Regions from separate parts of the Mus musculus genome. Here region 2 is reported to be linked to region 1. Evidence: microRNA targets listed by miRTarBase, many of them from high-throughput screens and not tested one by one. Region 1 holds a microRNA gene; the other region holds the end of a gene's coding sequence. Distances are between the middles of the regions.

Evidence for each region. Region 1 holds the annotated microRNA mmu-miR-1195 (UGAGUUCGAGGCCAGCCUGCUCA, at 2,345-2,367, shown strand). A microRNA usually pairs through its seed, bases 2 to 8, with sites in the 3' UTR of a target mRNA and lowers its output. Matches are read on the target gene's strand: a 7mer-m8 pairs with bases 2 to 8, a 7mer-A1 pairs with bases 2 to 7 and ends in A, and an 8mer does both.
Region 2: the mRNA of Mdc1 is a reported target of mmu-miR-1195. Seed matches in the 3' UTR shown: 7mer-A1 at 1,005-1,011, 7mer-A1 at 1,489-1,495 and 7mer-A1 at 1,518-1,524.

Annotation. Positions count from the first base shown.
Region 1 is chr17:70,858,858-70,862,924 of GRCm38, reverse strand. It overlaps Mir1195 (microRNA 1195), which reads left to right and starts at 2,325; the gene lies at 2,325-2,422.
Region 2 is chr17:35,857,396-35,861,462 of GRCm38, forward strand. Mdc1 (mediator of DNA damage checkpoint 1) reads left to right here. Exons shown (of 16, transcript NM_001010833.2): 16 at 68-2,275. The coding sequence ends at 235. Nrm (nurim (nuclear envelope membrane protein)) reads left to right here and starts at 3,923. Exons shown (of 4, transcript NM_134122.2): 1 at 3,923-4,067. The coding sequence starts at 3,990.

The sequences.
Region 1 (4,067 bases):
CTGTAAAACTAAGTAAGACTTCTATAACCTGATATTAAAAGCATTTTCAATTACATAATCATTATATATTTATATTATACATAATATTATACATAATATAAATATTATAACTGCCAGAAATAGAGCCCTAAACACATACCCAGAATATAGAACACACAGGTTTTGTTTTAATTGTTGTTTTTAGGACAAGATCTCATAGAGCCTAGGCTGGGCTCCAAACCTCTGTGTAGCTAAGTAAAACCTTGAATTCATAATCCTCCTGCCTCCAGCAGTGACTACAAGGTGGGCAGAATCTGTGGGTTTGACTGGTGTCTGGGTGAACTTTTCACTTAGTACGGATTTCTGCTAAATGTACAAGTGCAAGAAAAAAAATTGTAGAGTCAGAAGAATGAGAGGCACAGTGTGGGACACAATGAAAAACACTCAGATGGGGGCTGGAGAGATGGCTCAGTGGTTAAGAGCACTGGCTGCTCTTCCAGAGGTCCCTCGTTCAATTCCCAGCACCCACATGGTGGCTCACAACCATCTGTCATGGAATCTGATGCCCTCTTCTGGTGTGTCTGAAGACAGCAACCCTGTACTCACATACATAAAATAAATAAATCTTTAAAACAAACAAACAAACAGAAAATCACCTAGATGTATTTCAAGAGAGCGCCAGTCAGTTGAAGAGTGTGGAAGGCAGAATTACTTGAAGTAGGGATGTTTTGTCTTTAAACCCCCAGACCAAAGGGAGGAAGCAAACAGGAGTTAGTTACCAGTGGCAGGTAGGGCTGTTCTAGCTTGCTATCTAGGACTAAGTACTCATTACCCTGAGGTAATGGGACTAAGTACTCATTACCCTGAGGTAATGGAAAGCAGGTTGCTTGTGGTTAGAAAAGAGGGCGCAGATATGAGAGGCGGGGAATGGAAGGCAGTGCTGTGTTTGCTGAAATTGGAAGCACAAAATAATGTGGGCCCCTCCTTTCCTCCACTACACCCCATCACACACATACTCTTGTTTTCACATATACTCTTACCTAGGTAGCCCAGAGTGGCCTCAAATTCCAAATTCCCATGCCTATCTCCTAAGTATCAGAAGTATAAATATATAGCTGTTAACCATTGTACCCTGCTTGAATTCATGATTTCCAACATATGAAGGTGTGTGTGTGTGTGTGTGTGTGTGTGTGTGTGTGTGTGTGTGTGTTTAGTTCTGCTGAGAAACCCAGAAGTAAGCAATCATGGTTCAGTAGCAGTGCACTAGACTGGAGCTCATGTTGATGTCTATAAGTGATTCTCTTTTCTACAAGAATAGCCAGCACTTGCTGGAAAAATGATCAGTCCAGGGCTTGGGGACTGGAGCAGGGGAAGTGTAGCATGCACCTGAGACACGCCACTGTCCCAGACGGTAAGAAAATCTTCCAAGAATGGTACAAGAGGACAAGGAAACCGGTTTGGGGACTATTGGTGCTGGCTGCTGCTGGGGCAGGGACAGTCACTGCCTTCAATTGTGTGTTCACTGGGTGAGTCTACCAACTTCAGCGAATGCTTCTATACCCAGTGGCACGTGAACCACTGTGGTTAGACTCAAGGGGTGCAAAACAAGAAGGCATGAAGGGGCTCGAGGGTTGTGCAGAGGTTAAGAGCACCTGTTATTCTTGTAGAGAACCCACATGGGGCTCACAACCATCCAAACTGCAATTCCAAGCATCCAATGCCCTTTTCTGGCCTCTGCAGGTAGCAGGCACACATGGGGCACATGAGTACATTCAGGCAAAACATGTAATATTAAAAAAGAGAGAGAGAGAGACATGAACATGTCAGAGGGACTGGAGGGGAAGATGAGAAGACAGGGAGAATAATCAGAATGCACTGTGTATATATCAAATTGTCAAAGAATAAATTAATAAAAAAACAGTTTGAGGAACTTCCTCTGGGTAAATCCAAGAATTTTTACAATAGTGGTGGTGATGATGATAATAATAATAAGAGGCTATTAATGCACTAAATAAACCAGGACTCCAAATGTCCTGTAAGTAGACAGAGCAGCACAGACAACTGGAGGGGCAGCTCTCCCTACCATAGGACACAGCAAAGCAATGGAGAAGGAATGATGGAGTGAGGAGGCTGAGATTGAAGGCTTCAAAGACAGGACATTCACCTATTTTGATACATTTGATAGATTTATCAACCATAAAGGAAAACATAATGCCCACAGTGGAGAGTTTGGGACACATCACCTTAAACATGAGATCAAGGTTATAAATAAATAAATAAATAAATAAATCTGCCAGGCAGCCGGGCTGTGGTGGCGCTCGCCTTTAATCCCAGCACTTGGGAGGTAGAGGCAGGCAGATCTCTGTGAGTTCGAGGCCAGCCTGCTCAACAGAATGAGTTCTAGGGCAGCCAGGAACACACAGAGAAACCCTGTCTCAAGAAGGTAAAAAGTAAAAAAAAAAAAAAAAAGAAAAAGTAAAAAAGAAGAAGAAAAAAGAAAAGAGAGAGAGAACAGTCTACATTCTGAGGGGAAGCTGTAGTAGCTACACAGTATTGAACACCACACACAAGGCTTATACACACGACACAGTCAAGCCTGCATTATTTGTAGAAATTTAAAATGTCAAGCTAAAAACTTGTTTCTATTCATGAGCACAATGTTAATTTCTTGCCATTTAATGAAGATGCCCTCTTGAGATGGACAGACGGCAGGACAGTCTAAAGCACTGGCCTTGATTGGGTGCACAAGCCTGACTGAGCTCAGTTTGATCCCCAGCACCCACTCGAGTACAAGGGTGTGCCACGGTAACCCAGTGCTCTCAGAAAGAGATGGAGAGTGGAGACGGAGAATCAGCAGAGCTTGCGGACCACCTAGGCCAGAGCACTACTCAGTGAGAAGCAACAGAAGAGACTCCATCCCCCAAAAAAGGTGCAGAGAGAAAACAGACTCCTAAAAGCTGTCCCCTGACCTCCACATGCCTGAAGGACACCTCCCATATCTCTGTGTGTGTGTTTTACAGAAAAAGGAAGGAAGGAAGGAAGGAAGGAAGGAAAAAATATAAAGGTTTTTGTCTTTTTGCCCATGGTCACTTGAATCATGAGACAAAATAAAATTTTCTTCCCTTAAATTGCTTTTTGTGGAGCCTTTGGTTACAATAACTATCCAATTCCAACCACAGGAGGAAAAAAAAATGTGTGAAGATTCGAGTGTATTTCATCAATCAAACAACACAGAACAAACTGAGCACATAGTGTGTCGGGTGCCAGCAGAAAGAATAGAAACGCACATTGAAGAGTAAGCCTGCCGGGCGGTGTTGGCACATGCCTTTAATCCCAGCACTCGGGAGGCAGAGGCAGGCAGATTTCTGAGTTCGAGGCCAGCCTGGTCTGCAGAGTGAGTTCCAGGACAGCCAGGGCTACACAGAGAAACCCTGTCTCGGAAAACCAAAAAAAAAAAAAAAAAAAAGAGTAAGCCTGCTGGAGCAATTTTTTATCTCTTTATTAACCTAAATAATGGGTTATTAGAACTAAAAGCATTAAAGTGCCAACTAGAGATGAAAAGTAATTGTTCTCTCTGGAGAAACATTTAGCCTTAGAAGCAGAAAACAGCAAAAGACAATGGGGTGTATAATTCTGGGGTGACCAGACCTGCCTCTGCCTCCCAAGTGCTGAGATTAAAGGCATGCGCCACCACTGCCCTGCAGACCCAGCCCTTTTGTGAGTAAGTTCAGAGCTACAGATCAGACAAGCTAGAACATTAATCATAACTGCTGATCCAGAAGTGATGTGATGTCTGGGGTTTATATCAAACAATAGAAGTAAGCAGTAGCTTGTAGATGAAGGAAGACAGTTCAGGGGTCCAGAGTACACACTGGCTTTCCAGTCCAGTGGTGTGCAGCACAGTGTGTAGAGCCCTTCCCAGAGCCCAGAGCTTGGATTCCACCTCCTCAGAGAACTAGGTGGTGGGTGATACACGCCTGTAACCCCAGCACTTAGCAGGCTCAGGCAGGAGGCAGGGTCAGCGTCTGGGTTACACAGTAAATTCCCACACCATCCTGGGCCTGAGCTATAGAGTAAGAAGAAAAGGG
Region 2 (4,067 bases), 35 Mb from region 1:
AACAGCTTAATGGGTCCTGCATCTGTTTCAAAGTTCCTTCCTAACCGTCTTTGCTGTCTCTTCACAGCTTCACCGAGTCATCATAACTTGCACTGAAGACCTACCACGCTGTGCTATTCCATCCCGCCTGGGGCTACCCCTCCTCTCTCCTGAGTTCCTCCTGACTGGAGTGCTGAAGCAGGAAGCCACACCAGAGGCCTTTGTTCTCTCCAATTTGGAAATGTCATCTACCTAAAAAAATATGTACCTTTACCTTCTCAGACCATCGAACAGTCCTAGAAAACACTTGGAAAAAGGAACACACACATACACAATTAAGACGGGGCAAGGTGGTTCACACCTTTAATCTCAGCACTTGGGAGGCAGAAGTAATCATATTTTTCTGAGTTCTGGGCTAGCCAGAGGTACATAATGAGACCCCATCTCAAAAACCAAATCAAACAACAAACCTCAGGGTTTCACAAAGGCCTAAGGTATATTGTATCATCGTAACTGTTTGGGGAATGTGAATAAGGCCTAAAATGTTTTGGGGAAAAAAGGGAACTTTTTTCCTAAGATAGCCAGTTTTTTAGTTGGCTCACCTGAGCTGGGTATGGCTCTCTACCGAGCACCTGCCATCTGCCCAGCTGTGCTCCGAGGAAGCTGCTCCAGGCTCAGTGCCCTGACTCTACCTCCTGTCCAGAAGCCAGCATTTTCTCTTTACTTCCCGGGGTTCTACTCAACATGAAGCAGCTCCCAGGAGTGCTTGGTTGAGAAGATGAGGGTAGCTCATGGGTGTGGCTAGGAAAGGCTTTAGTTTTGCTGTACTTGCTCTGCTTTGCAGTGTTGGCAGTTAGCTGTGGTCATCTCCAGTAGCTCAGTGCTCACTCTGCCTTCTTGGTGGCAGGTTTCTGTGTGGAGACACAATGGATTTGAACTTGCACTTCATTTATTATTATTATTAATTTAGAGTAAATTGTATTTGTTTTTTAAAGTTGGCTACTTTCCAGGATGTGGAGAAAGTAGAACTCATGAATACTGCTGGTGTTTGGCTTGTCCTCTGCAGTAAACAGTAGCAAAGTTATTTCAAAGTAAGCAGAGCTAGCCGTGGGCATTGCCTGTAGCCCCAGTGCTTAGGAGGCTGAAGTAGGAAGCTCACCAGTGCCAGTTCAGCCTGGGCTACAGCGTGAGAGTCGGGCGTGGTGGCGCACTCGGGAGGCAGACGCAGGCAGAGCTCTGATTTCAAGGCCAGCCTGGGCTACAGAGTGAGTTCTAGAACAGTCAGGGCTGTTAACAGAGTAAATCCTGTCTCGAAAGAGAAGGAAAAAATTTTTTTTGGTTTGTTTTTTGCCATTTTCTCTGGACATGTGTAAGGTGAGTCAGTGCTCGTTGTGCCTGCCTGGTCACTCTATGACCCAGCAAGACTGTTCTGTAAGCAAAAAAAAACTCTGTTTTGTTTGGTTTTGTTTCTTCGAGACAGGGTTTCTCTGTATAGCCCTGGCTGTCCTGGAACTCACTTTGTAGACCAGGCTGGCCTTGAACTCAGAAATCTGCCTGCCTCTGCCTCCCGAGTGCTGGGATTAAAGGCGTGTGCCACCACGCCCGGCTGCAAAGAAAACTTTTAAACATGCATTTGGTATGTAATCCCAGCAGTCCCTGTAAAGGCTAGTAGGATCAGAAGTTCAAGCTCATCGTGGATTTTTGGGTTTTTGTTTTGTTTTTCCGCCCCCAAGGTCAGCTCAGTCTAAACTGCAAAAGATTCAAAAATGAAAAGCACTTGATGTTTTATCTTTTTGGTTGGGCTGGGGCTTGAACCTGGAGCTTCCTTCCTTTATGCATGCTAGGCAAAGCCTCTACCACTAAACCTTATTCCCAGCCCCTCACCTCTTTCCAAATATAGAAAAGCTGAAGATTTTTGTTCAGCAAGGATGAGCATATATACTGTCTGCACAGAAAGCAATGTTCAGACATGAAGTGAAAACACAGTATTTGAAGGTGGTCAAAGACACCCTAACACAAGGGCGAGACAAAAGGGACAGGTTTGATTCCACCTGCATAATAATATATAAAGTGTGGTGTGAATTCACAAAGGTAAGAGCAAATTGATGCTTGCCAGACCATGAGTACACAGAAGCTGTTCAAGGGGTCTAGTGTTCCCCTGTGGGGAGTTGAAAGACTTGGAATCAGAAAGAGGAAGTGATTGTACATAATGCAGAATATTAAGTACTAATGTATAAAAGGGTTGGGTTTTTTTTGCTTTATGAATTTCACTTCAATAAAAAAGTTGCTTACTTTATATTTTCCTGCAGTGAATTATGTATAAGCTTAGAGAACTATTGGTGGTTGGCACAAATGAGGCCCAACTCATGACAGGCAATTGCTTTACAACTCATTCACACCCCAGTTATATGCTTGATCTTTAAGGTTTTTCTTTTTTGGTGGTGCCGGGGGTTGAATCTAAGGCTTCCTGAAATGCTGCTCAAAAGCTTCACCGCTAAGCAGTAGTCCTAGACCATTGTTCATTTGATGCCTGTGGAGGCCAGAAGTCAGCCTTGGATGTCTTTCCTCGGGCCACTTTGTTTTTCTTTGAGATAGGGAATCTCACTGGGACATGGGGCACCCTTAGGCTGGGCTGGATGGACAGTGAGCCTTAGGCATTTGCCTCCCTAGAGCTTGCATTATGATTTAAGGAGGAAACAGGTTAAAGAGAAACCACACATAGTCAACTGCTTGTTTCCCACCTATAAGCTCTTCTGGGACCACTTCACAGTGTCTAGAAGATCAGTGGAGCCAGGATGTGATGCTAGGCCATAATCCCAGCACTTGGAGGCAGAGGCAAGAGGATCTGCTCAAGATGATTCTCAGCTACATAACAGCAAGTTCGAAGCCATCTTGCGCTACATGAAGATTCTGCCATTAAGGCGTGTACCACCACCTGGCTAGATTCTGCCATTAAAAATATATATACATTTTTTTTTTTTTGAGCAGTCCAAGTGGGGGCTGGAGAGAGCTCAGTGGTTGAGGGTACTGGGCTCTTCCAGAGGACCTGGGTTCAAATACCAGCACCCACATGGCAGCTCACCACTGTTACTCCAAGATCTGACACTCACATAGTTGCAAGCAAAACATCAATACACATAAAGGCAAAATAAATGTAAGTACAGAACTTCTTCAAAAACATTCACAGATGGAGCCCACTCAATACATTTCCCAAGCAGAGATCAGGGTGGGGAGGAAAAGTGCTATACAATGCATTAGAACTTGGTCCAGACGTCTTGGGAGCAACCAGCCTCCCTGCCCTTGCTCTATCTGTAATCTGAGAGAATCAGCTCTTGTCTTCTGAGGACCCTGTACTTGGATAGCTATGGTGATTGAGCCTTTCATTACTCGGTCTTTGGTTTTAGAGACAGGGTTTCTCTGTGTAGCCTTTGGCTATCCTAGAACTGACTATATAGGCCAGGCTGGCCTGGAACTTGGAGATCCATATGCCACCATCTCCCGACCTTGTCTCTCTCTCTCTCTTTTTTTTTTTAATGGCTTTTTCGGAACCGGTCTCCATATGCAGTCCAAGCTAACTTCAAATTCTCCTGCCTCACCCTTCCGAGTACTGGAATTACAGGCACGAGCCACCACACCCAGCTCTAAAACGGTCACTATACAAAAATCTATGTTGGGCGGGGTGGCGCCGTTTGTAACCCCAGCACATCAGGGATTGAGGCTGGAGAATAAGGAGTGATTATCTTTAAAAACAAGATGTTCTTTATGTTTCCACGCAAGGGAGGCTCTGTCTTCACTTTCCTCGAGAACACTGACAGCGCTGAGATTCGACCCACAAGGGTAGCCGCAGACCAGCTGCCCTGACGACGCCTGGGATTCCAACTCCGCGCTGTGACGCGCCGCTCGCGGTCCCCGCCTTGCCGCCAGCACCCCCAAGGAGGCGGGACCTGGGCAGGGCCAGCAGTCGCGGGAACCCTGAGCCCGCCTTCTCCTCAGGCTCCGCGCTGCTCGCCATGGCACCGGCGCTGCTGCTGGTTCCTGCGGCCCTCGCCTCCTTCATCCTGGCCTTTGGCACCGGAGTGGAATTCGTG